2 linked regions of the Caenorhabditis elegans genome follow. The protein of the gene in region 1 interacts with the protein of each later gene in a pairwise test. Each region holds a gene or a part of one and is shown on either strand. Other genes may lie near its edges. The genes, in order: sbp-1 and xbx-6.

The links.
Region 2: the proteins of sbp-1 (region 1) and xbx-6 interact in a two-hybrid assay, tested with the Caenorhabditis elegans proteins (2 studies listed by BioGRID).

What each region holds. Positions count from the first base shown.
Region 1 is NC_003281.10:11,434,375-11,451,333, reverse strand, and holds the start of sbp-1 (Processed sterol regulatory element binding protein sbp-1), read left to right. Parts: upstream 1-8,767; 5' UTR 8,768-8,768; coding exon 8,769-8,847; intron 8,848-9,259; coding exon 9,260-9,392; intron 9,393-9,650; coding exon 9,651-9,960; intron 9,961-10,731; coding exon 10,732-10,840; intron 10,841-10,893; coding exon 10,894-11,313; intron 11,314-11,657; coding exon 11,658-11,893; intron 11,894-12,416; coding exon 12,417-12,610; intron 12,611-12,655; coding exon 12,656-13,184; intron 13,185-13,493; coding exon 13,494-13,890; intron 13,891-13,949; coding exon 13,950-14,177; intron 14,178-14,223; coding exon 14,224-14,377; intron 14,378-16,959. UniProt on the Caenorhabditis elegans protein: Transcription factor involved in maintaining normal fat levels. Regulates the expression of genes involved in lipid metabolism in response to nutrient availability, such as the fatty-acid desaturases fat-5, fat-6 and fat-7.
Region 2 is NC_003283.11:9,691,347-9,708,305, reverse strand, and holds xbx-6 (Protein lifeguard 1-like), read right to left. Parts: upstream 2,951-16,959; 5' UTR 2,947-2,950; coding exon 2,838-2,946; intron 2,506-2,837; coding exon 2,333-2,505; intron 2,284-2,332; coding exon 2,189-2,283; intron 2,144-2,188; coding exon 2,053-2,143; intron 1,997-2,052; coding exon 1,857-1,996; intron 1,564-1,856; coding exon 1,288-1,563; exon of another isoform or gene 1,219-1,287; coding exon 1,212-1,218; 3' UTR 1,182-1,211; exon of another isoform or gene 966-1,181; intron 774-965; coding exon of another isoform or gene 767-773; 3' UTR 479-766; downstream 1-478. Other genes in the region: tag-120 (Transmembrane BAX inhibitor motif-containing protein 4), read left to right, coding at 27-449; Protein her-1, read right to left, coding at 6,754-6,867, 7,377-7,534, 10,873-10,985, 11,035-11,177; ZK287.7 (RNA_ligase domain-containing protein), read right to left, coding at 13,620-13,750, 13,799-13,949, 14,161-14,297, 14,437-14,651, 14,708-15,237; ztf-9 (C2H2-type domain-containing protein), read left to right, coding at 16,170-16,279, 16,329-16,416, 16,475-16,706, 16,755-16,959.

The sequences.
Region 1 (16,959 bases):
ACGGGATAGCAGATTGATAAAGATATAAGTGTACATCAGGATTATTAGTACTTAAAAAATTACACAAACCTCTCTAGATGCACCATGCTAAAAAATATCGGAAAATTTGAAAAAATGGCGAAAATTCTAAAAATGGCAAAAATTGGCAAAAAAAAACTGAGGAAAGTTGCAGAAAGTTGGTGAGATTTGCCGAAAGCTGTCAAAAATTGGAGAAAATCGCCAAAAAAAAGTCAATGAAAATTGTTGAATATTGAAAAAATTATTAAAATTTGATAAAAGTTGCCTGCAATCTCCAAAACTTGCAAAAAAATGCCAAAAAGTGGCAGAAAATTACAGGCAATTTGAAAGGTCTGCGAAAAATGATACAACTTGCAAAAAAATTGCAGAAATTTGCCAGAAAGTTACAGAAAATTGCCGAAAGTTCAAAAAAGTTGGCAAAAGCTCGCAATAGCTTGTAAAAGTTGCCGAAAATTTTGCCAAAAACTAGCAAAAAGTTGCCAAAATTTGCCCAAAATTTTAGAAATTTGCCGAAAATTAAAGAAAATGAGAATTTCTGGATTTCCAGTAAAAAATCGATTTTTCAAAAAGACATCCGTCAAATCAAAAAAAAAACCGAAATGTGGATTTTCTATGCTATAAATTTGAAAAAAATGTGCACATTTTTCTTTTCGGCGAGAAACACTAGTGATCGATGGTTAAATTGAAGCCAATTAGAATTTGGGAGGAAGACACACTTCACACATTTTCAAATCTAGGGAATTGAGGTCGAGAAGGAGCAGGAGCTCAAAATATTCAAAATTTTGGAGGAAATCGACATAGACATCTGCTCTCAATTATAAAGCTTTACTATTGGCTTTACTAGCAAAATGCGTATATATTTTTCAGAAGAAGAGTAACATTTCATAATTGATTTTTTTTTAATTTTTGAGATTATTCATAAAATATTCCTAAAAAAAATATTTTAAAATTTTCGGGAAATTTTGAACATTTCTAGAAGTCTGAACTCTGGAAAGTTCACGATTTCAAAATTGTTTAAACAAGTTTTCAGGATTTGATCTACAAATTCGGAATCGTCCAAGTAGGCATGAAATACCTGCCTATCTGCCCACTCAATTGTTGCAATATTTAGTAACTTCTGGTGATCCATCAACCTTAAATGTACTTAAATCAAGTTGAAAACTAAAGCTAATTAGCTTATATACCAAAATTAGACAGTGATTTAAAATAGTTAGTTTCCAGCCGCAAGGCGGTCAAATTTCAAATTTTAACTGATTCTTTGAGCAGTGTTGTTCATAAAATTTCAATATGAAATTCGGTGTTAAAGAAATTTTCAACTACACCAGCCGTAAACGCACAATAATCAAAATCCTAATTCATATCTCAATTAATATGTAGCAGCAAGAAATTACAAACATATGGCGATTGATTGAATCGTAAAAGAAACTAATAAAAATAGTCAACCTAATGGTCCTTGTTATTCTCCAACCGTCCGTTAATGTTTCCATTTCCCCTTATCGTCTGAATCGAAGGGGTGGTCATAAAAAATCTGTCCCTATCGCTCTTTTACAACAATACACCCTCTCTTTTTTTGTTCTTTTAGTTTTTGATTAGGATAGAATGGAAAAGTGCATTTTGAAATTTTGAGAAAAAATTTGAATTTTGCATTTCAAAAATTATTTTTATAAAAGTTAGAGCTCGGAGAGTTGCTCCAAAATTGAATTGAATTTCACCTCAAACTATACCAAAAACATCCGAATTTTGAATTTTTCCGAATAAATTGTAGAAATTTCCGGAATTTGAAAAAATACCACGATATTTTTTTTCAATGAAAAGTTATTGAAAATCAAAAGTTTATTTTAAAAAAATACAAAAAACATTCAGGAAACCTAATAAGAAAAATATGTTTAAAAAAAATTTGAAAATTCAACATTTTTTTCTTTAAAAAAAGGTTTATCAGAAATTTTTTTTGTAGACAATGAGAATGATAAAAATTCCTTTAAAACCCATTTTATCCAAAAAAAAACTGCTAGCGAAAACTAACAACGCTTTTTGCTCTTTTTTAATTTCCAAGGCTTTTTTATCACTTGTTATTTAAAGAACACAAAATTCTGAGAATGCGTACTGCACAACATATTTGACGCGCAAAATATAACTATATCTCGTAACGAAAACTACAGTAATCCTTTGAATGACTACTATAGCGCTTGTGTCGATTTACGGGCTCGCGTCCTGAAATGAACCAAAATCAATAAATCAATATAGATATAGCCCTACAGTAGTCATTTAAATAATTACTGTAGTTTTCGCTACGAGATATTTTGCGCGTCAAATATGTTGCGCAATACGCATTATCAGAATATTGTGTTTCCGTGATATCAGCAAAAAAAGTGTTATCAATTCACATTTGAGTTTCAAAAAATTAGAATATTTCACAAAAAAGAATATCCGGAAAACTATTGGTTTATCAAAAAAAATATTATGATTTTAATGAGAAAAATCAAAAAAGTATATTATGTTAAAAAAAACACGTATACTTCGTCACACGATACTAATCTGAAAGCTAAGAATCATAGGAAAGGAGCGGCGGTAAAACTTCAAAAAGAACAGAATCCAATCCAGGACGGCCACTAATCACCTCTTATCACCCCTCTTTATCACCACTTAAGAAATCGATGAACATTTTGGAAAGATAGAAGAAGGAATGATTCAAACACAAACGATTGCTTTACATTTACATATTATTGCATATCGGAATCGGTTATACGACGACGACGACGACGACGACGGAAAGACGACGGGGGAAGTGAAAAAAGAGAGAGAAAGTATTGGAATCGAGAGTGACAGACAAAACACATAACTGTTTGATAAACGAGCACTCGGGATATGTGGAGAATGGGATCGTTGAGTAGGATGGAGACTTCGGAGGGGAAGTTTTAGGGTTTTAGATGTTTCTAGATACAATTTCAAGCTTTGAAAAAATTTATTTGAACAGTTTTGAATTTACAGACAATTTGAAAGTTTGAGTTTGAGCAGTTTTATTCAAAGGCGGAGTATTGCCTGTAGATTTAATGTTTTTTTTTGCAATTTTGCCAAAAAAAATATGAAAAGCGCTAAATATTGTGATGTTCGCTATTTTTTCGTTTTCCAGAAAAATTAGGTAATGGGTTTTCCTCCATTTTTTAATATTGTTCACATATTTTTTCCCATAAAAAAATCTTGGTAACTGGAAATATCTGATATAGACCTAAAAATCTATAGTTTAACATAAGAAATATTTTCTGCTGAAAAATGTCTGAAAATTGAGAACTTATGCTTTAAATGATTTTTCAAAAAATGAGGAAAAAGCAAAACTGTCAAAACGACGTAACTTACTTGCGCGGTAATTCAAAATTAATTCAGCAATTTTCATTTTTTTCCCGCAAAATTAAAAATAGCCATAAAAAATTGATTTTAATGTTTTTTTTTTCAAAAATTTGAGCATTTTTTGTCTAACATACAAGTGTATTTAAGCGGACTGCGCACTGACAAAAGTGGAAATTTTTGAAAAATTCGACATGGTGCATCGACGGAATAATCTCAGTTTCATTATATTAATTGCCTTTTTTCAGAAGATTTAATTGGAACCTCGTTGACGTTTTAAAATTAAAATCCCAAAAATTTCAACTTTCAATTTCACCAAAAAGTACATAAAATTCCGTTAATTTTTTAAACCATGTCTTCTTATCTTTCCACTTTTCGGCGTGTGATCAAAAAAGGTCGTAAATTTTAAGAGGACTTTTAAGGGGGGATAGAAGTTGTGATAAGATTGAGATAAAATGATAGGTGAATGGGAATGGGAATGTTAAAATAGTCACTTCAAAGGGCGAAACATTTTCGAGCGATTTTTGATGTTTCTGGGTAGAATACCTTTTGAGGTTCACGCAAAAATTTTTTTGCATGGATCTCAAATCCTGTTTAGAGCTCCTAAAATGTTTTAGATTTTCAAAATTTTTGTAGGGAAATTTCCGATTTTTTTTTGAAAAATTTGGAGCAAAATTTTTCAAAATTTCTCATAAACTTAAGAAGTTGCTCCTAGACGATTTTCTTGCGATTTTTTATGCGTTTCACAATTTTTTGTGAACTAGAAAAATGTAATCCAAAATGGTTGATTTCCTAAATGTATGTATTTGTTTTTTTCACAACTATTTATGTTTATGTTTTGCAAAAAAACCTGCGAATTGTGTTAATGTTTATGCTAACCAAAGTGTGATGCAACAGTTGCCCCTCCACTTGACCGCGCGACAGGTCAAATCAAGAGACACATTTAGATAACCAAAAGGTGGTATTAACAAGAGAGAGAGCTATGCAAGTATCAGGTTACACAATATAAAATGGTACGAGGGATGAGCACTAAATAAAACTGCAAACCGACATTCACAGTGACGACCCCAATTCTAGTAAAAATGAGATTTGTTAAAAAATGACAGAAAATAGACTGTAATGAATTGTTAAAAAATGTTTAAAACTTTTTCAAACTTTTCCTGATTTTTCAATTTCGCTAAAATAAAAAAAACATAGAAATTTATTTTTTATTCGTAAATGAATTAATTGAAAATTTTAGAAATTCAAACACAAAAATTCAAACAAAAATAATACAAACACAAGCGCAAATTTCAAGAAAACTGAACTAAAACTATAAAATCGCGCATTTGTGTAGACAGTGTGAGGAAATTAGCACATAGGTAAAAAGACAAACATGTTGAGAATACACAAAACTGTTCGTGTGCTCAAAGAGCAAAGCATCTTACGTGAGAACTACTGGGAAAGAGATCAAGTAGCTTTGGATGGTACTGTTAGAAAAAAAATACACCCGTTCTTTTATTCCAAAGTATTTCAACTCAATTTTAGATTTCAGGATTAAGCCTCTTTGGTTATCAAAAAAAATTGCGGCGAGGAGCACTTCGTACTGGATAAATTTCGATCTGAATTTCTAATGTTATTTTTAAAATTTTTTAAAAATTTGGGTGTTTGGTTTTGAAGAAAACACTTAAAATTTTTAGGCTCAAATTGTTCACATATTTGAGATTTGAGATTAAATAAAACCGACTATTTGTATGCAAAATTAAAAGATTTTCCAAACTTTGAAAATTAATATCTGGCTTCAAATTAAGTTTTTCAGAAAATCCCCAAAGCCGTTTTGTAGCAAATTTTAAGTTCTTTCAGAATTAAAAAAACAAAGTTCCAAAATATCTCATAACCGCCGAGATGAAGCTGAAAAGTGCATTTTCAGTCATGCCTTAGACCACAATTTGAAATAAATCGGCAAACCGGCAAATTGCCGATTTGGCGAATTTGCCAAAAATTTTTGGCAAATTGTGATCTTGCACATTTTTTTCTGGCAATTTCAAAATTTTAATTTTAATCGGCAAAATTGTACGCATCCTATGACTAATCCTACATCTATTTTGAAAAGTAAGCAAATTCTATGAAAATATCTGAAAGAAATGGGGAAAAATTTCAAAAAGGCATAGTTTTAAGTTTTTCCGTCTTATAAAAAATCCCTCTAAAAATTTCCGGCAATTTGATATCCGGTAAACGGCAAATCGGCAAACCGGCAATTCGCCGACTTGCCGACTTTGCCGCCCTTCCCTGATTTGTACCTTGAAAGCAACAACTGCCTGTCCCATTACGGTTTGATCTACAAAAAATGCGCCATTTTTTGCCCAAAAATATGTGACGTCAGCACTTTATAAACCATGCAAAATCAATTGAAAACTCTGTGTCTCTTCCCCCGCATTTTTTGTAGATCAACGTAGATCAAAACGAAATGAGACACTCTGACACCACGTGCAACTGTAATTCAGATTAATTCTCTTTCAGCGTTCCTTAGACATGTCATAAATATCCTCGGAATTCGTTACCACGTGGAAAGCTCTTATCAATCCCATCATTCTTCCTTTGGCTCTACTCCAGCCTATCTGTCATAATGGAACATCTACCCACGTGATTCCATTTGCACATTCTTCTCTATAATTGTTTTTTTCCTGCAAAAAAAATTCCGATTTAATAAAACTTGTGTTTCCATCAAATATCGTCATTCCTATCACCCTAACTACTACATACTACAATGTCAACGAGAGAGCGTGTGATTTGTGGAGACGCAGACGGTGAAACAGTGTGTCTACAAGAAGATAGGAGAGTTATTTCTCTCTCTTTTTCTTTCTTCTTTTTACTTCAACTTTTCTTCTTTTTTTTGAATCGTTTACCGGTTCTTCTGCACTTTTCAAATCTTTATGGTTATTGATTTTTTAAACAATTAAATGACGTTTCTTCATTTTAAAAAGTCATGTTTTATGCATTATAATCTGTAAATATTTACGTCTATTTTTTGCTGACCGCGTGACTCATTGATCTTGTAGTCTGTGTGAGATGAAGAGACGCAGACAGAGAAAGACAGCTGATCAGTTAGAGTGGATGATTGGAGGATCTTTTGATAAAACGTAATTAGTTATTTTATTTTTGTATGACTCTTTTCAATTTTCCATAGTATTTTTTAATCATAAAGAGATTACACATTTTTTTAGCTGTTTTAGAATTTTCGGACAAAAAAAATTTTTGGCAAACTGTTTTCGTTTTCGAATACATTTGACCTTCTGAAAAATTTTGAGCATTTTTTGCTTGTTAGAACTCCTACATTTGTAGGCAAAAAAGGTTCTTTTCGAAAATTTTTTAAATAGTATAAATAGCCTAACTGCATAATTATTTATACCATTTTTTAGTTTTGGCACACTTCCAGGAGTTTTTGAAAAAATTCAAAATTCAATTAATTAAACATGATACGGTTAAAAAGCTAGAAGAAAAATCGATAAAGTCCTTTAAAAAATTTTATTGGAATTTTTTCATATTAACATATTAATTAATTTGAAATGTTTTATTCAAAATTCTAGGACGACTTTAAAAATATTAATTTTCAAATTTTTGAAATTGTTTTAAAATGAAATGCTGATAAATTTTGTCAAAACCAGAATATTCCTGCTTTTAATTAAAATTTTCTTTTTTTTTAAAATTAAATGTTCATGTAATTGCCATTTTTTGATTGGAAATTTAGAAATTTTTAAAAAATGTTTTCTTACTGGTATTTTCCTTACACTATTTAAATTGAAAATTTCATAATTATTTTTTATTTACAATTTTTAGGATTTTATTCTCTCAACGTTCAAATGTTTCATGCAAAATTTTTTTTCTGGAAATATTATTTTTTAAAATCAGTTTCTGCAATATTCAATATATGACCTTTGCGATTTTTTTTGAAGAATATAATTTTCTATGGAAAATATGGAAACTGTTTAGAATAATTTTCGAATTTTTTAACTTTTTTTCAAATTTTGCCTATTTTACCAATTTTTCTGGAATTAAAATTATTAAAAATCTGAAAACCTTCTTTTTTTAAATTTCCCAAACTCCACAGATCACCTCATTAACTACTTCTTATTTTATGCGGAGCAGAGCAGCGTATCAAGCTTACATGTACTGATAATTTTAATAAGGTTGCGAAATTTCTTTACATTTTTCTGTACAGAAAAATACTTCCGGCGTGGCTGACAAAAAATCGGGGCCGAAGATTTTTTTGTCGGCCCATAGATAAAGTATATTTTGATGTGAGGAACCGTGAGATGCCTGCCGCATTGGGTATAAAAGTAAATGCCATGGAGTGACTTGCAGCCGACATCTCACGGGTCTTCAAAACAAAATGATAAACCATGAAAAGTCGGCTGCAAGACAGGGGGCAATGAAACTGTAATGCTGTTGTTCAAATTTTCTGCAAGAGCATCATTCTTTGCTCTAAAAATTCCTGTTCCTATCAAAAAGTTTTGTTGATAAAAGATAATGATTTCATGTTGACCAGTTTCTTAATCATTCTTTGATTGTTGTTTGTGCACAGCATGAGAGTTACACGCGAATTTCCTCTAATTGTAGTGCATGTGTAGATTAAGACCTTGAAAATAGGCAAAAGTAGGCAATGGAAAATGTGTCGATTTAAGGAAAACCTGTAGAATGTCGGTTGCAAAAGTAACTCCCTCCTGCAGCCGACATCACACGAGCCCTCAGAACAAAACAGTAGTATGCCGGCGAGGTGTCGGATGCAAGTCCTCACTTATTGTTTACTTACAACCGACGTCTCACGGCTCTACAATAAAAGAGAATATGCCCACGAGTTGTCGGCTGCAATATGCCCACGACATCTCACGGGCTCTCAGGTTGTCGGCCTGGCCGAAATAGTATATTTTGCATGTCAATTCAACTCCATTACTTCCGCAAATGTTTTTATTATATACTTTTTGAATGTCGATATACTGTCATTAAAGTTTTTTTTTTCAAAATCGATGTCAAAAGTGTGATCGGAAATGACTTGTGATTGGGGGGGGGGGGGGGAAATTTGTCATTTTTTCAGTTTAAAGTTTCACATTTTGGTTCCAAAACTACCGATTTGCATATACCTAAGTCACATAAAAGTTTTGAAATAAATTCTCCATAGAGCGCGTTTGCATCTCCTATTCTCCCATTCCCAAATTAATGATCATAAAACTCCTGCAAATTCGGTTTTTTCTGAACTTCTACCAGAGAGGGGGGTGTTTCTGGGGGTTTCTTATCACCCGAAGTCTCCCCTTATCAATTTCCCCAATGTCTCCTTCTTTGCTTTTGAGTTCTGATTTTGTAACTAACTATCTCATTTTTCTCGTTTTTTTGTTGAGTTTTTGCTCCTCAAAATTTGACTTTTTTTTTTCAGAATGAACGAAGAATTCGAGGGAGACGTCCCTATGTCGGATCCGTTTCTCTCATTGGTCACAAAATTGGATGATATTGCGCGTGAGTTTTTTCCCTATATGCCTACCTCATGCCTACCTGTTCGCCTACATGCCTACGTACCTGCCTACCTTGTCCCTATCTGCGTACGCTTACCTGCCTACCTCATACCTCCTGGTTTGCGCCTACACACCAGGCTTACACCAAAAACAAGCATTCAATCAAAACACAAAAAATAATTTTCAAAAACCCAAAACACCTACCTCATGCCTACCAGCCTAGCCCATGCCTACGTGCCTACCTCATGCCTACCTGCCTAGCCCTTGCCTACCTGCCAACCTCATGCCTACCTGCTCAACACAACTTACCTACGCCCATAAACTTGCTCATTGAAGGAATATAATTTCTATAGTATATTAGTTTAGCAGTAGGCAGGCAGGCTTGCATTTTCGGTGCCTATAGTTCTAATTTTCAGCATTTCCAAATAACGACCCGCTCGATTTTGACATGGAGCACAACTGGCAAGAGCCCGGACCATCACAACAACCGGATCCATCAATTCCCGGAAATCAACACAGTCCGCCACAGGAATATTATGATATTGATGGGTGAGTTTGGCTAGTGTACTGTGAGGTACTATTTCGCATAGGCCTGAAAAATTATGCCTGCCTACAAGGCCACCTGTGCCTGCCTACGTGCCAACTACTGACGTAAAGCTTAGGCTACTAAAACAATAGGTATATTAAAAAATATAAGTAATGTAGGTAGGCAAGCCTACCTTCCGTGGCATCTTTTCATTTGTCAGGAGAGATGGCAGGCGTAGGCAAGGTAGTAGGCGTGCAGTTTGAAAATTTTCCAACTTTCAGTCAACGAGACGTAAGCACCTTACACTCCCTGCTCAACCACAACAACGACGACTTCTTCTCAATGCGATTTTCCCCGCCAAACTTTGATCTCGGCGGAGGCCGTGGACCTTCTCTAGCCGCCACCCAACAATTATCTGGAGAAGGTCCTGCAAGTATGCTTAACCCCTTACAAACATCTCCACCAAGTGGAGGTTACCCCCCGGCAGATGCCTACAGACCTCTATCACTTGCTCAACAACTCGCCGCGCCAGCGATGACTCCACATCAGGCAGCGTCGCTTTTTGTTAATACTAATGGAATTGATCAAAAGGTTTGTCGTTTTTTTTTTGGTGTAGAAAAGTGCATATTTTACGGGGTAAATGTTGCAGTAGAGGGGGGTCTTATCAAGCAAGAACTGTCAAAAAATATCTAAAAACTACTCATAAAATGTCGAGGCTAGGCGTTTTTCGGCGATAATTCTGTGAATTCTGTAATGGTTGGAGTTTTATATGGCATATAAATTTTGCCGGGAAATTCAAGTTTTGTGAGAAGAATTTTTGGTAGGAAATTCAATTTTTCGGAGAAAAGTTTCGGCGGGAATTTTAAATTTTGGAAGAAATTTTTTGGCGGGAATTTTAAATTTTGGAAGAAATTTTTTGGCGGGTAATTCAAATTTGGTGAGAAAAATTTCTGGCGGGAAATTCAAATTTTGGAGGAAATTTTTTGGCGGGAATTTAAAATTTTCTGACAAAAATTTTGGCGGGAATTTAAAATTTCCTGACAAAAAATTTTGACGGGAAATTCAAATTTTTTGAGAGATTTTTCGGCTGGAAATTCAAATTTTGGAGGAAATTTCTTGGCGGGAATTAAAAATTTTTTGAGAAAATGTTTGGTGGGAAATTCAAATTTCCTGAGAAAAGTTTTTGGCGGGAAATTCAAATTTTAAACTTGCGAAAAATAGAAAACTTCTGGCACGCCTCTGGAGTTGCTAAGATTTTCCAGAATCAGAATTTATCCCCTCACAAAAATGGGTGGAGGTCTAGGATACAAAGTTAAAACTCCACCCATTTCTTGGACGTTCTGAATTCGATGATTTTTCCAGAATTTCACTCATGCAATGCTATCTCCACCACACCATACCTCAATGACTCCTCAACCATATACAGAAGCAATGGAACATATCAACGGGTACATGTCTCCATACGACCAAGGTTTTCTTTTCCCCTTTACTGATAACCTTATATTGATCCTTAATAATTTCCAGCTCAAGGCCCATCAGGACCATCATATTACTCACAACACCATCAATCTCCACCACCTCATCACCACCATCACCACCCGATGCCAAAAATCCATGAGAACCCTGAACAAGTGGCATCTCCATCGATTGAAGATGCTCCAGAGACGAAACCAACTCATTTGGTTGAACCACAAAGTCCAAAAAGCCCGCAGAATATGAAAGAGGAGCTTCTTCGGTTACTAGTTAACATGTCTCCGAGTGAAGTTGAACGGTTAAAGAATAAAAAATCAGGAGCATGTTCAGCGACGAATGGGCCATCGAGGAGTAAGGAGAAGGCGGCGAAGATTGTGATTCAGGAGACAGCGGAAGGGGATGAAGATGAGGATGATGAGGATAGTGATTCCGGGGAGACTATGTCTCAGGGAACTACTATTATTGTTCGAAGTAGGTTATATTATCAATTTTACCAAAAGGACACAATTTATTTTTTTTTGGTTTTTCTTACATGGAGATATACCTAAAGTAGTGAAAAAATACACTAAAAAAACTTTACGATTGAATTTTTTTAAAGTAGTGTGCTTATTTTAAAGCTCCATTGAAAATCGAAAAAAACATTGTTTTAAAAATACAATTTTCTAACTATGTTTCCACTAGAACTTCCGACTACTCAATAAATAATTGCTCGATGTCATCACTTTTCGGTAGTTTTTGACAAGAATATAATACCTTGCATTATATTTAATCTTAATAATTTCGAAATTTCTCCTAACCTACATCAACTATTCCAGGACCAAAAACCGAGCGTCGTACGGCACACAATCTCATCGAAAAGAAGTATAGATGCTCAATAAATGATCGAATTCAACAGCTGAAAGTACTTTTGTGTGGGGATGAAGCTAAGCTTTCAAAATCGGCAACACTACGACGGGCTATTGAACATATCGAGGAGGTTGAACACGAGAATCAGGTGTTGAAGCATCATGTTGAACAAATGAGAAAGACACTGCAGAATAATCGATTACCGGTGGGTTAAACTCTGAAAAATCTAGAAAAAAATAGAAAAAAAAACGTAAAAATAGGTCAGAATTGACCCAAAAAATGTGAAAAATATAAATTTTAAATCGGATAAATCTGGGCTAAATTTGGGCCTAAAAATCTAAAAATTTGCTGAAATTGGCTTGGCCCGAAAATTGTGAATTTCCATTTCCCACCAAATTTGAATTACCCGACAAAAAATTTCAATATGTGAAACTCAAAAAAAAAGTCCGAAAAAAATTCAAAATTTTTGAAATTCTGGGTAAAATGAGCCAAAAACAGGGGGAAAAGGTCCAAATAAACCAAAATTATAAAATATAAAACTGAATTAGTCGAAATCATGAAATTTGGCTTAAATTAGCCCAGAAACATGTGGCAAAAATGAGCCAAAAATGGTTAATATGTGAAAAAAATGCAGTCTAAACTGCCAAATTTGGTTGAAAATAGCATACAATTATTTAAAAAGAAAACAACCGAAAATGCCGAAAATCTTCAACCTCGCCATATTACAGTACCCGGAACCAATTCAATACACTGAATACTCTGCCCGATCACCCGTCGAATCATCTCCTTCTCCACCTAGAAATGAGAGAAAACGATCACGAATGAGCACAACGACTCCTATGAAGAATGGAACTAGAGATGGATCTTCGAAAGTTACCCTTTTTGCGATGCTCCTAGCAGTTCTGATTTTTAATCCGATTGGGTAAGCTTCTATTCATCTGAAAAATAGCGTTAAATCCTTGTTTAGATTGCTCGCTGGAAGTGCGATATTCTCAAAAGCCGCTGCAGAAGCTCCGATTGCCTCCCCGTTCGAGCATGGAAGAGTGATTGATGACCCGGATGGAACTAGCACTCGGACGCTTTTCTGGGAAGGGAGTATCATCAATATGAGCTATGTCTGGGTGTTCAACATCTTAATGATCATATATGTGGTTGTCAAACTGCTGATCCATGGTGACCCTGTTCAAGACTTCATGTCCGTTTCATGGCAGACTTTTGTGACGACTCGAGAGAAGGCGAGAGCCGAGTTGAACTCTGGAAATTTGAAAGATGCTCAGAGAAAGTTCTGCGAGTGTCTTGCAACGTTGGATCGATCGCTTCCATCACCGGGGGTTGATTCGGTGTTTTCGGTTGGCTGGGAATGCGTTCGACATCTTTTGAATTGGTTGTGGATCGGGAGATACATCGCAAGAAGGCGCAGGTCCACCACGAAGCCTGTCTCAGTCGTTTGTAGGAGTCATGCGCAGACTGCAGTTCTCTATCATGAAATTCATCAGGTTTACTGTCAAATTCCATAAATTTTGCATTCAAAAATATATTTACTAGAGTAATCCTACAGTACTGCTACAGTACCCCTACAGTACTACTACAGTACCCTGACCATATCCCCACTAACTCCAAACTAATATCCCTTCAAAAGACAAAAAGTCAATTTTTCCAAAACTACAGTAATCCTTCAGTACTCCTACGGTACCATTACAGTACTACTACAGTACCCTGACCATATCCCCCCACTAACTCCGAACTAATATCCCTTCAAGAGACAGAAACATGTATTTTTTATGTATAAGTAATGATTTTTCCAGCTCCATCTAATGGGTATCACTGGAAACTTCGAAGACACCTATGAACCATCCGCCCTAACGGGCCTCTTCATGTCCCTCTGTGCAGTAAACCTTGCTGAAGCTGCCGGAGCATCAAACGACGGACTTCCACGCGCCGTCATGGCTCAGATCTACATTTCTGCATCCATCCAATGCCGTTTGGCTCTTCCGAACCTACTCGCACCATTCTTCTCGGGATACTTTTTACGAAGAGCTCGAAGGCACGTGCGTCGAGCTCCGGAGCACTCGGTGTCCCATTTGTTATGGATCTTCCATCCAGCGACAAGAAAGTTCATGTCAGATGCGAAAAGGTTGGAGCATGTGTTGAGCTCGAAGCAGAAGCAGTTGAGATTTGGGTCTTTTGTGGAAGATGAGCAATGTAAGTATTTTAAAATAAAATAAAATAAAATAAAAAATAAATAAACTTTCATTTTCCAGTATCCCCACTTGCTCGAATCCGAACAACGCTGAAAGTGTACCTACTCTCCAAACTTGTACAGGAACTTGTCGGTGGTGACGAGATCTTTACAAAAAATGTGGAACGCATCCTAAATGACAATGACCGTCTCGATGATGAAGTAGACGTGGTTGATGTTTCAAGACTTTTGGTGACAATTTCAACGCAGTGCGCTGCCATTTTGACTAATGAGAAGGATGAGTCAGCGAGTTAGTGAACACGAATTTTAAGATTGAAAATGTTATAAATTTCTAGAATTCGGAACCTGGATCTCTCGAAACGGAGATGCTTGTTGCACATGGTGGACGCACGTTCTGACATGTGGAATCTATTGGAGGAGTAACAAGAATGAGCTGGCACGGCAACACTATTCACTGATCAGGAACTGTCCGCCGAAGATTTTGACAGAGTGGGTTTTTAGACTTATTTTGGCCTATCTATTTTGGAAAATCCGTATTGAATTCATTTGAATCGTTTTAGAAGTACTCATTCTCAAATTGGCAAACCGGCAAATTGCCGGAATTGAAAATTTCTTGCAAGTCGGCAAACCGGCAATTAGCCGGAATTAAAAAATTCTTTCAAATCGGCAAAACTTCAAATGGCCGGTATTTGTAATTTCGTGCAAATCGGCAAATTGCCGGAATTGAAATTTCCGGCAAACCGGCGGATTACCGGAATTCACAATTTCTTGCAAATCGGAAAACCGGCGAAGTGCCAGAATTTAAAATTTCTCACAAAACGGCAAACCGGTAAATTGCCGGAATTTAAAATTTCTTGCAAATCGGCAAACCGGCAAATTGCCAGATTTTAAAATTTCTCACAAAACGGCAAACCTGCAAATTGCCGGAATTTAATATTTGTTGCAAATCGGCAAATTGCCGGAATTGAAAATTTCTTCCAAATCGGCAAACCGGCAAATTGCCAGAATTTAAAATTTATCGCAAATCGGCAAACCGGCAAAGTGCCGGAATTGAAAATTTTTTGCAAATCGGCAAACCTGCAAATTACCGGAATAGAAAATTTCTTGCAAATCGGCAAACCTGCAAATTGCCGGAATTTAAAATTTCTTGCAAATCGGCAAAACGGTGAATTGCCGGAATTGAAAATTTATTGCAAATCGGCAAACCGGCAAATTGCCAGAATTTAAAATTTATCGCAAATCGGCAAACCTGCAAGTTGCCGGAATTTAAAATTTCTTGCAAATCGGCAAACCGGCAAAGTGCCGGAATTGAAATTTTTTTGCAAATCGGCAAAGCGGTAAATTGCGGGAATTTAAAATTTCTTGCAAATCGGCAAATCTGCAAACTGCCAGAATTTAAAATTTCTTGCAAATCGGCAAACCGGCAAATTGCGGGAATTTAAAATTTCTTGCAAATCGGCAAACCAGCAAACTGCCAGAATTTAAAATTTCTTGCAAATCGGCAAACCGGCAAATTGCGGGAATTTAAAATTTCTTGCAAATCGGCAAATCTGCAAACTGCCAGAATTTAAAATTTCTAGCAAATCGGCAAAGCGGTAAATTGCGGGAATTTAAAATTTCTTGCAAATCGGCAAATCTGCAAACTGCCAGAATTTAAAATTTCTAGCAAATCGGCAAAGCGGTAAATTGCGGGAATTTAAAATTTCTTGCAAATCGGCAAATCTGCAAACTGCCAGAATTTAAAATTTCTAGCAAATCGGCAAACCGGTAAATTGCGGGAATTTAAAATTTCTTGCAAATCGGCAAATCTGCAAACTGCCAGAATTTAAAATTTCTCGCAAATCGGCAAATCGGCAAATCGGCAAACCGGCAAATCGCCGGAATTGAAAATTTCTTGCAAATCGGCAAGCCGACAAATTGCCGGAATTTAAAAATTCTTTCAAATAGGCAAACTTGCAAATCGCCGAAATCTAATCATTTATTGCAAATCGGCAAACCGGCAATTTGCCGGAATTGAACGTTTCTTGCAAATCTGCAAACCGGCAATTTGCCGGAATAGAAAATTATTTGCAAACCGAACCGACAAACCGGCAAATTGCCGGAATTGAAAATTTATTGCAAATCGGCAAACCGGCAAATTGCCGGAATTGAAAATTTATTGCAAATCGGCAAACCGGCAAATTGCCAGAATTTAAAATTTATCGCAAATCGGCAAACCGGCAAAGTGCCGGAATAGAAAATTTCTTGCAAATCGGCAAACCTGCAAATTGCCGGAATTTAAAATTTCTTGCAAATCGGCAAAACGGTGAATTGCCGGAATTGAAAATTTTTTGCAAATCGGCAAACCTGCAAATTACCGGAATAGAAAATTTCTTGCAAATCGGCAAACCTGCAAATTGCCGGAATTGAAAATTTCTTGCAAGTCGGCAAACCGGCAATTAGCCGGAATTAAAAAATTCTTTCAAATCGGCAAACCTTCAAATGGCCGGTATTTGTAATTTCGTGCAAATCGGCAAATTGCCGGAATTGAAATTTCCGGCAAACCGGCGGATTACCGGAATTCACAATTTCTTGCAAATCGGAAAACCGGCGAAGTGCCAGAATTTAAAATTTCTCACAAAACGGCAAACCGGTAAATTGCCGGAATTTAAAATTTCTTGCAAATCGGCAAACCGGCAAATTGCCAGATTTTAAAATTTCTCACAAAACGGCAAACCTGCAAATTGCCGGAATTGAAAATTTCTTGCAAGTCGGCAAACCGGCAATTAGCCGGAATTGAAAATTTCTTCCAAATCGGCAAGCCGACAAATTGCCGGAATTTAAAAATCCTTGCAAATAGGCAAACCGGCAAACTGCCAGAATTTAAAATTTCTTGCAAATCGGCAAACCGGCAAATTGCGGGAATTTAAAATTTCTTCCAAATCGGCAAGCCGACAAATTGCCGGAATTTAAAAATCCTTGCAAATAGGCAAACCGGCAAACTGCCAGAATTTAAAATTTCTTGCAAATCGGCAAACCGGCAAATTGCGGGAATTTAAAATTTCTTGCAAATAGGCAAACTTGCAAATCGT
Region 2 (16,959 bases), on another chromosome or scaffold:
AAATCTAAAATTATTGTATATTTCAGACTCTCTCGGCAGCAGTCATGACAATGTTTGTTACTGCTTGTTATAATGTTCAATCAGTTTTAATTTGTCTATGTATCACCACAGTATGCAGTGGATCAGTCATTATTTTCTCGATGAAAACGAAATCAGATTTGACGAGCAAAATGGGAATCGCTTTCATGCTTTCAATGGTTCTTTTCTCATTTGGAATCTTTGCACTCATCTTCACTTTGGCATTCAATTGGCAATTCCTTTATTCCGTTTATTCTGGACTTGCTGCTCTTTTAATGATGTTCTATTTGGCTATTGATGTACAACTTCTGATGGGTGGTCGTAAATATGAATTATCACCAGAAGATTACATTTTTGCTGCGATGGAAATCTTTTTGGACATTCTGAATATCTTCCTGATGCTTCTCAACATCTTTGGAAGAGGTCGTTAGATCTTTTCACATTTTTATATGTTTTATTGTTTGCTGTAAATACATGTTTTATTTCATTCAAAAATATATATTAAGTTTCATTTCACAAATAATTACGAGTTTAAGCGGGAAAGTAGCGAACGAGACATCTTAAACAACAGCAGTTTTCGTTTCTTTTTGTTAGAAATTTTTCGGGGTGAGGGACAGAGCAGGGGACAGGCAAAGAAGAACAAAGTGAACTACCAGTGTGTAAATTAGGCATGGAATCTAGTATAGAACAGAAAAAGAAGAAGGAATTGAAGAATCGAGAATCGATGAAGTCGGGTGAAGGCCGTTGTTTAGTCGCTGAAAAATACAATAATTAGGTTTACAAGTTGATAAAAAGCTTTTCACAACATAGAAACTGAAAATTGTTGCTTTTATCAACCAAATGATTCACATATTATCGAAAAAATACGATCGCACAAATTTCTCATAATTTATTTTTGATCTACCCTGTTGACTAGGCTCCTCCCCTTCCTTCGACAAGACAGCCACAACAAAATAACAGCGGCAACAAGATTGGGGGAGGAGCCTAGTCAACAGCGTAGATCAAAAAAAAATTATGAGAAATTTGTGCGATCGTATTTTTTCGATAATACACATTCATTTAAATTGGCACAATGTTACTAATACAGCGTTAGTGAACAATGACACAAAAAAATCTAAAAAGTAAACGTGCCTTTTGAAATACCACAAACTCAACCGCCTTACCACACGAAATGTGATAGAGAAATAGAAGATTCAGTTTCTGGAAATAACCAGAGGGTTTATTGAGAATGTCTAGCTAAATTTCAAAGTTTCCCAATGAATTTCTTACCTGGATCCGAACAAACTGAGAAGGAACCAGAACATCTGGACAATGTCAATGAAGATTTGAACAGAAGCAAAAATATATTCTTCTGGTGAGATTTCGTATTTCTTTCCTCCCATCAGCATTTGAACGTCGAGGAAGAGGTAGAGCATCATGATAAGAGCACCACCGAGAGCATATACCATCATCAAGAACTTGATCTTGAAGAACATTGAGCAGATCACGACAACAAGTCCGAAGAACATGAAGCACATTGAGATGATTAAGATATATCCCATGTGGCTGAAAATTTAGTATTTCGGATATATTTTTTGAAGATCAGTGGTTATAAATTATTCGTCATCATTCTAATTTCTGAACTAAGTTTAGTTTTTGCCAATTTTGCTATTTACAAAAATTAATCTGCGTACATCTTGTCAGAACATATTTAATATATTAAAAATTAGTTTCAAATTCGACTAAATAACCTAGGTACCTTAAATTTCAGAAAATTGGTGCTTGTTAGAGTATAAATCCGCTTATTGCAGGTTTAGCACAGCATTTGAAAAAAAGATTTGATTTAAAAAAAAACTTACGCAGTCAAATCGAATTTCGTCTGAGAGGCGACAATGACAATGGAGAACGTACATCCAATGCAGATCGCCAATGCCAGAAGAACCACGTTAGCATCATGATGAGCTGAAATGACCATGGTCATAACTGAAGTTGCTAGAGTCTGAAAACGATTTTTGGATTGATAAAGGGAAACTTGTTATATTAAAATGAACTTACGAAGATTCCAGTGACAATCAAATTAACTGGGAATTTACGACGAACTCCTTCACAGCAAACCAATGACAAGTAGGTAACGAAGAAGATTACACTGGAAATATTAAATATTAATCAAGATTTCAATTTATGTACATACTAGGACCCAAGGTAGAGAGCCGAATTTCTGCGGACCATTCTCATCGTATCATCATGAACCCACGGGATAACAGTGACTGCGGCAACGATGCAAAGCTAAAATTTTTTGAAAATAGATTTAAAACTTTTTGAAAGTACTACTTACCATGATAAAGACCAAACTGAAAACTTTTCGAACGAAAGCAGCGCGGACAGTCTTATCAGAAAATTGGAATGAATACTTTCCATCTGGATTGTCTCCACCACCGTGTTGCCCATTTTCCATCTGATTGAACATAGCTCCGTGCATTGGTGGCGGTGGTGAGAAATAGGCTCCACCTTAAGAATATTGAGGTTTTGAATCGTTTTAAAACAGTTAGTTGTGAAAATATAATTTAATACGTTTCAATGTAAAATTTTTGAAAAAAATCCACCTTGCGCATTAACAAATTTTGTCGATTTTTTTTCGGGTTTCCTTTGGTATTTCGATTAATGACGTCACATTACAAAAATACAATTAAAAAATGATCAAATTTATTGATCGAAGAGCTAGTTGCTAAAAGTTTCGATATCTTCTTTACTTATTTATTTTGGAAGTTAAAATATTCTTAATTTATGTCTAACTTCTGATATCGCTGACTTTTTTATTTTGTTTTTAAAAAATCTCTCACCTTGATTTTGATTTTGTCCGTCGCCTGTATTGAATCCTGGTGGCGGAGGGCCTTGATTGGGGTAGGGATTCTGATAAGCCGGGTTGTATGGCTGTTGATTGTACGACATATCTGGAATTAAATAATATTATTGAAACGAAAATACAAGAATAAAATGTAGTCAACAAGTGAGATAGAAGCAAAAAAGTATAGAATTTCATGGAAATGGCAATTTAAAAAGTCCCAGTTGTTTATCACATTACTCGAGTTTCCATGGAAACATGGTTCTCCAGCTCACGAGGGGAATTTCTCGTCTGTTTTCAGACAAATTCTAGTAGCTAGAGAAATGTGCGTCAGTTATAGGAAGAAATAAGATTATTTTAAGGCTTAGAGGGAAAGTCATATCTAGATTGAAGGATTAGAATGGTTGAGAAGATGAAAATAATTTGATTGTTTTCAGGAATGAAGAATTTGTCATATTTTAGTTTAAAAAGATGAGCTTCTACAGATTTAGTATTAAAATTGTGTGTTTTATACTGGTGCTCGGATTTTTAAGAAGACAAAATATTATAGAAAGATTTTCAGATGCAGTTACAAATAACTCAAACTCCGGTACTTTCTGGTGTTGCTAGAGCACGAATTTTTAGCGTTCGAGCAGAAAGAACGAATGTACTCATATTTGTCGATAGGAAAGTAAATACGCTCAACGTTCTTCGTTCGAAAACTGAGACGGGTATTATCTTTCTCATTCATGCCTAGACTTCAAATAAGTAGAAAAACCAAAATGCAGTGGAAGAAGAAGACGTGTGATTTCGCAACAGAATGGCACGTCTTCTTCACTTTCACGAGAATGCAGCATCGGGCAATTGTGATGAGATCTCGTTGAGAGAAGAGACGCAGTAAACTGACCAAGGCTTTGGATATCTGCGTCTCTATTGTTTGCAATGGTCGGGGTTTGCCTCGTCAAAAAAAAATCGATGTCGACCAGAAAACAAGAGTTTTAAGTAGTTCTCAATATAGAGCATCTATTCAAAAATGTAGGTTTTAGTTTGAACGGTGACTTTTTTGTATTGTCGGAACAAGAACGACGTGATAATCTATGAAAAACAGGAACAGAGAAAGCAATGAAACGTTGTCTCTCTTTTACTCGCCAGGTCAAACAAAAAATACAACGACCTCGGCCAAAGGAGAGAAACAAGAGAAACGCATGTGTTGATGCTCGAAGACCACTACTCTTTTGAAAAAGCAGTGAAGCTTAAAAGCAGTGTTTCACATCTAACACTGGAACATGAATCGAAAGAAAAACTATATCATAGAGATATAGAAATTTTTAAAGTGAGGGAACAGTTGTATAGAATGAAAAATGTTGAGTCACCGTTGAGAGATCAAGAAATCTCTGTAGAAAAACGGAAGAGATGAGGAGAAAGTGAAAACATCAAAAGTTTGAACAAAAAATTTCATCAACAATAGTGAGATGATCAATAAGTTAAATGCTAACAATCTCGAAACTTTTACATAATTTACTAAGTTTTTCTAAGCTTAAAAAAATTCCAGACGATAAAACAGATTACAAAATCCAAAATTTTATTAATTTTTTAAAAACTTTGTATGATTTTGATTCCCTACGGAAGACAATAGAAGGGAAATGAAGAGAGAAATCGAAAAAAGCGTGAAAATTCATCGCAGAATTTCTACAGTACACTTAAAGGCGCATGCGTCAAAAAATAGTTCGCGGGGCGACACCCAATCGCGCGCTATCGTGCGTCTCCCTTGAAAGCCGTACAGTAGGCTTGAAACTGGTTCAAATATATTAAAAGTAGTTTGTTTTTTCGTTTTCGGAAATAAAAAAGCTTTTGAAATCCCCTACCATTATCAAGCTTGATATAAAAACGATATTTGTTGGAATTCCCGTTCCAATACATTTCGCTGAAATTGAAATAAACTTTCATTTCAGTTCAGATAAAGTTTGAAAAAGAACACGTAAAAATATTACAAAGTTCTATTTTTTAGGTTATATATATAAAAATAACAACACGCGTGTGCCGTTCGGTTCGATTTTTAAAATATTTATAAACGATTATGGACCGTTTCATCGAACAAATTGGAAGTTTTTTAAATCTAATCTATTTCATATTTACGTAATCTAGGAAGATAAAGGAGAAAAAACAGGATTGGTTACTGTATGTTGTGACTTCTATCGTAACTAATAATAGGCTAAGTTTAATATTCACAAAGAAACTGTTTGCGTTTTTAATTCCAAACTTACCATTATTCTGTAACAGTGGGCCTTCGGCCTGATTAGGATGAAACTGTTCATTGCTCTGTTCTGAAAATAAAATAATATAAACATGTTTCTTATAAATTTATTCACCTGCTGGAGCACTAATACTTTTTTCAGCTGAAATCTGAAATTTCGTGGAATTACGACAAATGCCCTGAAATTTAAACAAAGATAAATGTGAGCAAGAGAGTCGAAAGAAGAAGAGAAAAAAAGCTTATTTGTTAATAGTCATTCGTCAGGCAAACATGAACAGTTCTTTTCGCTTTTTTTTTCAGCTTTTCAGTAAGTGAAGGTGCCCTATAACTTGTGAGATTTCTGTTTTATTCTGTTCTACTTAGTCATACGAGAAAATTCTGTTAAGATCATGGAGAGTTTCAAAATTCAGCGAGTTGCATCTTTGTAGTCAGTTGAATATAAGTTTCAATTGTATAGCCGTAGATATTAAACGTTTGGAACATCTGAAAATAGTTCAGAATGACATTTGGTTTTCTCACATTGCATTTTTTGAGCTTAATGTAGTCATTCCGAAAACAACTAGATCAGAATCATATTTTGGCAGTTAAGTTTTTGCATTTTTGGTTTTTAGCAGAGAGTCAATAAAAAAGTACTTAAATTCTATGGCTTGAACATTGAAAATTGCTTTTAAGAACATCGGCATTTCTTGAGTTAATTGTTTTCTTAACTTTATTCTTATATTGTATTCTAAACTTAAGTTAGCAGAATCCATACTTCAAACTCGGATCACGCCTGAACAGTTTTGGTAACTTGTGTTGATTTACAAAAAATCTAAACTTATATAGTTTGAATTCCACCAAGTACAAGTTTATGATGAAACCCAACACATGTGTTAACACATAAAATTTAAAAAAAAACCTTAATGGCCATTTTATCAATTTCGAATGAATTGATTGATTTTTCCTTGCTAGCTCTAAAGCATTATTCAGTTTAAAATAACAAGCAGAATATGAGAAACAACATTACATTTAGTTTATTAATCTTTCAAAACGGATAAGAAATAAAGTTTTGCTCGTTTTGCAGTTTGAATAACTAAAATTACAAATAAAATTTAGAATTTGTTAGAAAGCAGAGAATTGAAAAAAAATTGATAAAATTTGTAGTTCGAAAATCACTTTCTTATCATTTTTTGTTGATTATGTCGTATGGGTTCTGTGCGTTGATAAAACAATTTATTCAATAAAAAAGATCGTAGAAAGTACTTGAATATTCATATTTGACAACTTTAGGAGAAACCAACAAGAGAAGATATATTTTTTATGAAAAAAAAAATAAATAAAATCAGGACCGCACCGTAGTGCGCCTTCATGACATCTGAGCGCATCCGAAAACATTCTTGAAGAGAATGTTAAGAAGAAATCAATAAGAATAGGACATTTCAAAAAATTCTATTAAAAATATATACAACAATATGACAAGTTGCGTATCGAAAATTTTCTTCAACATAAGGAGAACACAAGATTAAAAATATAACTCAAAGTGAGTAAAGCTCAAAGCTTTGATTAAGAGGTAGACATAGAGGTGTTACAAAAAATAAAATAAAAAGGTTTAGAAAGAAAAGAAAAAATTGGACCACTCATGATGGAGAGTGCCATAATGACAACGGCGGATTAGGGATGTTTTAGGCTAATGAGCCCAGATTCAGACTCCTCGGAAAGTTCGCTTTTGGATAAACGTTGCATTGCAGTATTCTTCGAATTGGAGCACTTCAATTTTGATACCATCTTTACGGAGGCTCCGGCATTTCTCAAAACACTGAAAAATAAATTTGTTTTATGACACACTTGATTAACTCGAATTGAACGATTAGAATATCGAATGAGATATCTTTGAAAAACGTGGTTCCTGGACTGACGCACTGCTCCAAAAATGTATCTCAACCTAGGCGAACAATTTTTGGGGTGATATCTATCCACTATCGGATTTTCCGCTTGCCAATTGAATTTTTTTTTTAATTTTCTCCGTTTTAGGATGAATTTTATAGACGAGGGAATGGATGGGACGAACTCCAAAATTGTTTGCCTGGACCAAGAAAAAGTCTGCAAATCGCAGCCGTTTTTACAGAGTTGGAGATAATTTAATATTTTTAAACTTGGCTTTGGTCAACTAGGGATCCTTTCTTTAAAACTGGAAAAATTAGGACTACGTACTGAAATAGGCAGGAGCTGAAAAAACCATAAGACAGATTGCACCGAATATTTTCAATTTACCCGTTTGTCTAACTAGAATAGGCGAACTGAAATTCTGTGTTAACAAAAACTCACTTTATACAGTACATTATCCAGAAGCGAGCAACTTTTGATGCTGTCCAGACGTGTGGCAGCGTCGATGGAAGGGCTGGTCATGAGGTTCTTGCAACGATTCTCACATCTTCTTCCAGAATCGTTTTGGTCGTTGCCAAACACGGAGCAGCACACGGAGTCTGAATAAAGACAATATGAGATTAGGGCGTGGGATGGGCAAATGGGCGGGGCAATCAGAGAGGCGGAGTCAAAAGAGACAGGTGTTGGCATGTTTTACGTGTGAAGAGGCAAATAATAGATCGATAATTAAGACAATTTGTCCCTCAAAAATAACGATTTCTTTTGGGAAAGTCTCTTCTGGGAAATCGTAAAATTATAGCAATTCTGTGAGTCAAATGCATTTGTAAGTTTTTCTATAAACCTCATATTATCAATAAAATTAGTGAATATTCACAACTTTACAGAAAGTAGAAATTTCTCGAATTTCAGATTTTCAAATTAATTTATATTAAGACAATTTCTGCTCAGGGGAACGCACCTAAATAAACCAATTAAGTTCTGTACTTTTTGGATTTAATCACGCGTGCATTTAGTTTAGTAAGATTACTGTATTTTCTCTAATAGTATTGCACCACATTATTTTAATTGAAAGCTTTATATCTCACTATCAACTCATTTTAAAGATATCAATAAATTTTAACTGCAAGCAATTGAAAAAGAAATAATAGTTTCTCAATTGGCAATATTTGAATAGAACAAACGCTAACTAAAATATAAGCTGGTAAAATTGAACAATAAGGTCTAATACAATAACGGGGAATACGGTATACATTATTTGAGCACTGATATCTACCTTCATTATGAAGTTTCACTTTATCAGCTATTCGAGAAAAATTTGAAAACCTCAGATGTAGCTGAAGCTATGATATTTGTAGTCTCAAAAAACATTGTTCCCGTCAAAACAGCTATGTTTGCTCTACGCAATCTAGTTTCTCCTGGATGGACCTAATCGACGCGTTTTTCATCTCATTTGATCTACCACTCTCTTACATTATATCTCGTCTACGGTATCTCTCATTTACCGTAGTCTCTCATTTCCCATATACTCTTTTGTTGCAACTCGACACACATGACGGTATTGCGGACTCTTTTATGACGACTGTAGATCGTAATTCCTATACCGTATGGCAGATCTAATAAGATGAAGGACCAAGCACACCTGGATTGGGAGGTGTAATGAGGAATAGAAAAGCAAACTGTACAGGGGTGAGAACAAGAAAATACTTATTCAATATTTATTAGCTGATGCCGTGCATTCTGATATATTTGTAAATAAAACAGATTGCTCCCGGCGGCACTTAAATATTTTCTTTCTAACGAAAAATGCAAGATGTCAAAAGAAAAAAAGCAACTGCTCTGCTCCTGTAGGACAATTGTTGCAGGGGAGTCTCCCATCTAATCAATACACCTAACAAAAGAGTGAGTCAACTGATAAAAGGATAAACATGCAAAGATATGGTATCAGTGCTCGCAGTAGAACACTCTTTTATCTTGGAGAGATAACACGAGAAAGATCAAAACAAATTATGAACATTATCAGAGAATTCAAAGACATTGTTATCATAATTTTTATGTTTTCATAAATCTATTAAATGATCAAATGAGTAGGCGAAATTAATTTTTTTTTAACATTGTAGAGAACAAGTATTGAAAAATATTAGAGCCAAATTCAATACTGTAAAGTTTTTTTTTGGCCATGAATATCTCAAAAACAAATAAAGAAGCCTATTTTAAAACTTATGTTAAAACGTAGCCCTAATAGAATTCTGAACGAAAAACGTAACTTTTTGAGGCTAAAAAATATATTTCTAAATAGTTTGAGGGTTTGAAGAATATCTACTCTCGAAACATGATGACAGGTGGTACGCAAGACACAAGGGTCCGTCTATTCTCCCTGCGCAATACCAATTGCCTGCACAACCCTAGGACAATTGAACGGACCACCTAGAACAAGTTGCAACTTTAGAGTTGAATATCTCAAAAACTGAGCCTGAAACATAATCAAAAAGTTTTTCTAACAAATAGAGCATGTCAAATTCTTTTAGAAAACTTGGTTGTTACATTACCAAAAATTTTTTGTAGATGCTTTAGGTGTTGTCAAAGTGATCCCTATTTAGTTGAACAAGGTTCCAATGTTATTGAGGGAAATATTACAATTCGAAATGGAAGAGGAAACTATTTACAGGAAATCAAACATTATTATAGATATGAGAAAATGTTTAAATGCTAGTTGATAAGTGTTATCAATAACTGGAAATGTAGTATGTTGAAGTGAAATCAAATCAGGAAACTATAGAGAGCTTAAGTTGCTTCAAAGACACGGTATCCTTGACATTTATCACAAATTTACTGATATCAGTAAGCTTCAAATTGTTAAAAGCCTGACCGACTTTGAATATATCGATCGAGCGTATGGTGGCGACTGCCCAATGCCCGAAGCCTTGTACCTCTCTGCGCACACATACGCACTATCTTCCTCCTCTTACCATTGTCTACGTCATCGTACTGCATTTTTTCTAATTTCTAAAATATCGAAAAATGTTTGAACAATTTTTTTACTATATGATAACATCTCGTTCTGCTGTAACTCGGATTATGGAAATGCCCAACATTTGCTTTCGAACTTAGCGGTGAAACTTCAATTTCCAGTTTAATTTCACATTGGCAGAAACTTTGTTTCAAAATTGGTAAAGTATTCGTTTTATAATTTAAAGTGAAAAAATAATAGCCCTTATGAATTATTCGAATAATCATTCTATCATAGTTATAATTGATTTCAGCAAGAGAGAGCGCGAACATTCTAAATTGGGGTTAGTTTGAAGACGTTTTACGTGTTATTAAATAATTTTTCAAATGATAATAAATACTCAGAAACAAAGACTTTAATTTTATCTTTGTTTTGGTATACTTTTTAGTATAGGTTGCAGGCTCAGTTTTTGTGATATAACTCCTCAAATTCAGATATTCTTGAAGTCTTGGGCGCTTTCTTCAAATATTTCTCCCATACATTGCATGCCATTTTTAAATTTCAAATAGTTAAAGATAAGTAGTAATAATAATCTTACTCATGAAAAATTTCAAACGCTCTCTCTTTACTTACGTTCTAACTATTATTTTGAAATCAGAGAAGCCTCTGATGATTTACTTTGATTTTTTTCAAAACAATTTGAGGCAAGAATATTAAAAAAAAAATGTTCAAAATTATTGAAAATTTCCAAAGAGTATACGAATGAAAGAGGCAGAAAAGATATTGTGACTTTTCAATGCGTGTGGTCTTTCTGCCTCCGGCCAATCAATGACCTCACGGGCGGGCGCTATGCCACCGGTTTCTCGATTTTCCTCAAGTTAAAACTAACTTGTACATACCGTATTAGTCATTTCCTATATTTCTTAAGAATAAACAAAACTTGATATCTTGGCTTGTGAGGAGAATTTTACCTGAAAAAAAAACGCTCACCATCCAAGTTAATCTTTTTCTTTGGTTCTTTTGCAAACAACACATTTTGAAGACATTTGTAGACATATCCGGGTAGCTTCGGATCCCTGTCATAACCACATCGAATTGGGGTTCTAAATTATACCGATTATCGCATTGTTCGTGCTCGTAAAAGCGGTTCACCCAAATTTCATAATTTCAATGCAACATTCTTGACGGTTTCTTGTACAGCATTTCTCAGCTGCATCTTTGATAAGTTCCTTTGTTAATGTAGTTTCCGTATAGCCAAATGATCCGAGAAACACAAAAATTGGGAGATATCTCATAATGCAACGTAAGGAAAGGGAGGAGATTTACTACTGTAGGTGGACAAGATGCGCTGAGAAAATAGAAGCAGAAGGTAGGAGGAATATGAGCAAGAGACGACTGGTGGGTTCAGTCAGGAGATAGGCATCCCTGCAGTGTCATTTGGTTGAATGATGGATATAGAACCTGAAGAGACTTAGATACTCAAAGAAAGTTAGACAAAGAAGGTACATACAGTGCTCATGTATGCTCCTAAGATATAATCTACTCTCAGAAGCTGAAGAACTGGTCCGTTGTTTCTGCTTAATATATAAGAAACTAGGCAAAACTATACTAGAAACTAATTAGTTCATGTTTGAAACATATCTGCTCGTCAGTGACGTCACTCTCAACAATCTCATTAAATCCTGTAAATACAACTCCATTTTTTAAAAGATATGAAAAAATGTATAATTTAAGTGTTGATTTCACAGAATATGATTATTTCTTTGAAAATATTGAATTGATTGAGAGCACCTCTCAATCTTAAATTATGTTTTTTAGAAGAAACTTTCATAAAACCCCAGTAAATGTTTCGAAGAGCCCCTCGCCGAACAATTTCCAATTAATAGATATCTTTATTTTCGATCACTATGTTCCAATTTTGTGCCTTGTCAACTTTACTTTCATATCTATTTTCAAGGTTGAGGATTAATGCCGTAGATGATTGATACAATAGTTTTACAAAATAAAGTTTATCAAATTATACTTTATCGAGCATACTGTAACCGTTCTATATGTTCCAATTGACTTCATTTCGTTTCAAACATGGTATGTTCCACCTTTGACGGTAATTGATATGATAAGGATTGCCAAATTTGCGAATATCCTGCATAACAATTTGTTAATTGTCAGATTGAACTACCAAAATACTCATGAGACAAGAGATCAAAAGAGCAAGATTGTAGTAATGATAGAACGAATAACAAAATAATCTTCTTCAGTTTTAATGTTCCTTTAAGGTTCAGATTGAATACTCTTTAGTAACTCTTTAGAGTAATATCTCTTAATAACTCTTAGAACTCTTTAGAATAACTCTTTAAAGTATTGTTCTATATCATTTTAAGAAATGAGTTGTATTCTATGGCAGAAACGTACCGAATCGTGAATTGGTTCACTTTACTTTTTTAGGTCTATCTAAGATTATCAATTTACTTAAATTTGACTATTTATTCGTCTATACTTTTCAGCTGAAAGTTTCAGATCAGAAACTGATTGAACATGCAAAGATCTGTCAAAGAAAACAATGTATTAAATTAATTTACAGTTTCAAAACATATTTTTATCAAATTGATATTTCATTTTTTAGTCAAATACAATTCCTTTATCTTACTTCGTTGTCTTCCTATCTTCTCACAACTTACCTCATTCTAGACAACACTCGATATCCCGAAGGGCCATTATATTGCCTGTCTCACAGTAACTGAGTGTCTGCAATTGTGAGCAAATGCTATTGCATGTGCGTGATTCACTAAAATAGCATAGGAGATTGAGTGACTTAGAGATCGAATGCGCGGGAAAGAAGATCAAACGAGTAGGCGGTGTGGACAGATGACGTGGGTCTACAAGTGTAGCTACAACCGAGCACAATAAAGGCAATTCAGGGAAAATAAGGATATATAATGGTGTTGAGCTCCGTTGATGCAAATATATATTGCTACATTGAATTTTATTTTCCTGGCCCAAAAATAACTATCTGTTCATCAATATAATTAAGAATTGGAATCAAAAATTACTTGGAAAAAATATATTTAGTGTTTGAAATTTCACGATGACTATGTAGTAATGAAAATGAGAAACTTGTTAATTTTTCAGATACAATGGAAAATAATAGTAAGAAAAAATATTGCAACTGTGAATTAGATACATTCAACATATTTTTTAATCAAATTTATTACGAATTTGCGAACTAGAAATTCTCACGTTTCAAAAATTTTCAATAGAGTAATCTCAAAGAGTCATGCGCCTTTAAAACCAAGTAATACAAGCAAACTCATTTCTCTGAATGTTTTGCCATTTTGATTTGATTTTTTTAAATGTTGTAATTTCTTGATATCCAATATTTCAATTCAAATATTCAACTGCAAGGTTTTCATTTCTAGAAATATCTATTCAAATTATGTCTCCATCAGTACCTGAAAGTTCAAATCCGATGCCAATCGTAATTTCAATACACTGTTTAACGTTTCAAACTGAACCGAGACATCTACCGTAATCCGTAAACCATTGCAACGGGATGAAAGAGAAATTTTTCAAACCCAGGGTGCAACGGCAGCAGTAGAAAGAGAAGAGAAGATGATTGAAAATTTATGGCAGAGCGACGTCAAGAAAAATTGCGTTTTATTAGTTAACAAAGAGCAACAGACAACAACAAAAAACTGACAAGATTTCTTACAATAACTGAACTAATAAAATTTGAGATCCTAAAATACGACATCTCCCGATGTTCGTGATGTTGAAGACGATGAGTCTTCTGAAGGTTTTTCAGATCTATTCATAAAATCTTTATAAGCATGACGAAGACCAAGTAGATCGAGCATTGCTATGAAATGAGCTAAAAATATAGGAAGCTTCAGATTTTGCAAATCAAAAAAGTTTATACCCGGTGGTTTCGCAGCTGCAACGAGACCATGTGCTTCATGACCACCGACGTCTTCGAAAATTGTGTTGTACACGTGGCAATAAATTGGAAGTGAAGTGAGTAGACTTCGATTTGAAGTTTCGAGCGTCGAACAAAGATGAGGTGGGATGAACTGGAATAATAGTCATTTTAGAAAAACATGGCAACTTTCCAGTTTTGTCAAACTTATTTTGCAAATATATGGGGAGTAAAACAGTACAATACAGATTGATTTTGATAGTATTTAAGATATACATTTTTTTAAGATTTAAAAGTTCAATTCTTATTGTAAGATTGAATAAGATTCAAGTTTTTTTCTTTACAAAATAACTTTGGTGACTTACAATTCTATGCCCCATGTTTCCCGCGCTGATAAGTTCAGGAACTCCATCCACGTCGGCCAAACGTCTCCAGTAGATAGTGTCTCCGAGGATCGGACAAGACATCTGAGTTAGCATCAGTCGTGGGAGATGACGAGCAACTGAAGAAATATAATATTCAATACAAAAATAATATGTATTCAAACATTTGTTATCTAAAAACCCAGCGTCGTCGTACTTTTTAATTTGAAATTAAATATACCAAGATGATTTTTTTCGGAAGATTTTTGGTTAATTTACATTTATTTACTGAAAAGTCGATCAATGAAATTCCATTTTTTGTGTCCAGTACTCGATAGCTCATATGTCCTTCTACAGCGTATTTTCCAGTTTTTGCCCGTTTCGTTGTTTTTCTTTCTTCGAAAATGTACTCTTTGTGCTTTCCGACATTCCGAAACGTGGCAAATCCAGTTATGACTCCACTGCTCTTTTCAGGTCTTCCAATTGTGATTGCTCTGAACTTTAAAATAATAAATACTAAAATTAAACTTTAGAAATTGATAAAACTTACAAGGCATTATACATAAAAGGGGGTTCGACATTTGAAGAAGTGCTTCTGATACATTCTTTCAGAATATTGGAATCCTTTTCATTACATGGAAGAACAATTGCACCAGATAAGTATCGTTTTAAGCCTGTACAGAAACTGAGCTGAGGCTCACGGAGCAACTTTCTCAAATCTTTGATACAATCGGAAATTGTTACTCCCATTTGTTCTTGAGTCCTTGCTTTGATTGTACCAGCCCATTTTTCAGTTTTTCTCTCATCTCGAACACTATTCCCAAATACTCCACCATTTTCTTGAAGTTGTCCAACACATGACAATCCATATGGCTTTTCCAACACTACAAATCGACCTGGAGCGTGAGCCAAAACCTTTTTCGATAGGTATCGAGCCAGCTGATTGGGATTTGAAAACGTGGCAGGAGTCAGAGCTTTCTGAACTTTTGGATTTAGTGGAGCCGGTGCAGACTCCAAAGAAGTTGAAGACGCTGTATTACTTGTGAATCGACATGTCGATATTCGTCGCAGTGTGTTCATTTTTCTCTGAAAAATCTTGATTATTTTTTAATTATCAAAATAAAATATAAACCGAGTCTGTAAAATTATAAGACGAAAGGTTTCAGATAAGCTTTAGAATTTTTTACCAAATTAATTATCAGAAAGCGAGAAATTCTTGCTAGGAAAAAATGGTATCTTAATTTTACAAGATTTTGGCATACTTTCTTAAAGGCGCATGGATTGATTTGGACTGGTCTCGATGCGCAAAAAAGTTTATGGTAGCTTCGGCTGCTTTATCGTTTATTTCCCTTACATTTTCCAATGGAAGTACTCTGTTTAAAGCGAATTTCGTGTTTAAAAAAAATGCATATTCCTTAAGAATTGGTTTTAAATAAGTTTTCTAAACAAAAATTTCAACAAAAAAGAGACTGCCATGCATGGTCATGGTATTTGTACCATCAACTTTTTATCTCAAAATTAATTATTTTTCACAAAAATCTGACTCATATCTGTTCTCTCACGTTTTCATTTTTCCAACAGTTTTTCCCACTTTTCTTCCGCCCATCCCGCTCCTTTTTCTTTTTTTCCTATCGCCACAAAAACACACACACACACACAGCAGAGAGAAAGAGATAGGAAGAAGACGAGTCGTCGCATTTTTGTCCTCTCTCTTTCCCTTTCTCTCTCCGTTTCAATGTAGCGCGAACCGAGCGATGAGAAGAAGAAAAAAGAAGAAAGAGGAGAAGAAAGGAAGGAGAAAGGAGGAAGAGACTGGCCATTGCCCGCCCGGCCTTCTTCTCCTCCTCACACACACAAAACCACCCCCTTCTCTCCATTTTCCTTCCTTCTTCTTCTCACCATTCTTTTCCTTTTTCCACGCGTCTTCAGTTGATTTCGAACACATTTTGTTAACCGTTCGCTTCTAAATCTATATTACTAAATTTGCAGAATATATTTATTACATTCAAAAAATGAACCGACTACTGGGATGTCTAGATTGCGTTCAAACTGAGGCCTACAACACACTGGAAGATCTCGAAGCACACATTGCTAGTGATCATCTTAACATATGCCCATATGAGTAAGTCTTTAACTTTTAATATGTGGTGAACGTAGCTTTACTATTTTAGATGCGAAAAATGTAAGTACGCTAAGTTTCCAACGGAATTCGCCCTTGTCAGTCACTGTATGAATGATCATGGACTCACCGAATTTTCTGTAAGTCTCCAATGTTGAGAGACGCAGAAAAAAAATTCAACAATAATTTAAATTGCAGATAAAATATCGCTACACACCGGAGTTGAGTATGAAAAAGAAGGAACTGACCCAAAAGCTCGAACGGTGCATTGCAATGAGTCGATCTATGCGGATTGAAGGGAAAATCAGCGATGCGGTGTCAAGCACAGTGGAGAACAGAGTCAAAGTCGAAAACTCAGAAGCAACTGGCACACCTATTCAGTCATCTTCTCCTGTTGTCTTCGTAGATAATGCTTATCATGCCTTTCTAGGTAAACTTACACATAATAATGATTCCCACTCATTTGGATTTAATTCAGACGAAACTCTGGCACGTCACGAAGAAGAACGTGGAGCCGGTCCTTCATTCGAGGGAGCATCTGATGGCGGTGGTCCGATCAAGCCGAAGCAACAAATTCAATGTTCTCTTTGTGGAGACGTTGTTTCCAAACAAAGATCAAGCATGGTGTATCATGCAAATACGCGTCACGGAAAATATGAGCTCTACGAGTGCGGAATCTGTCA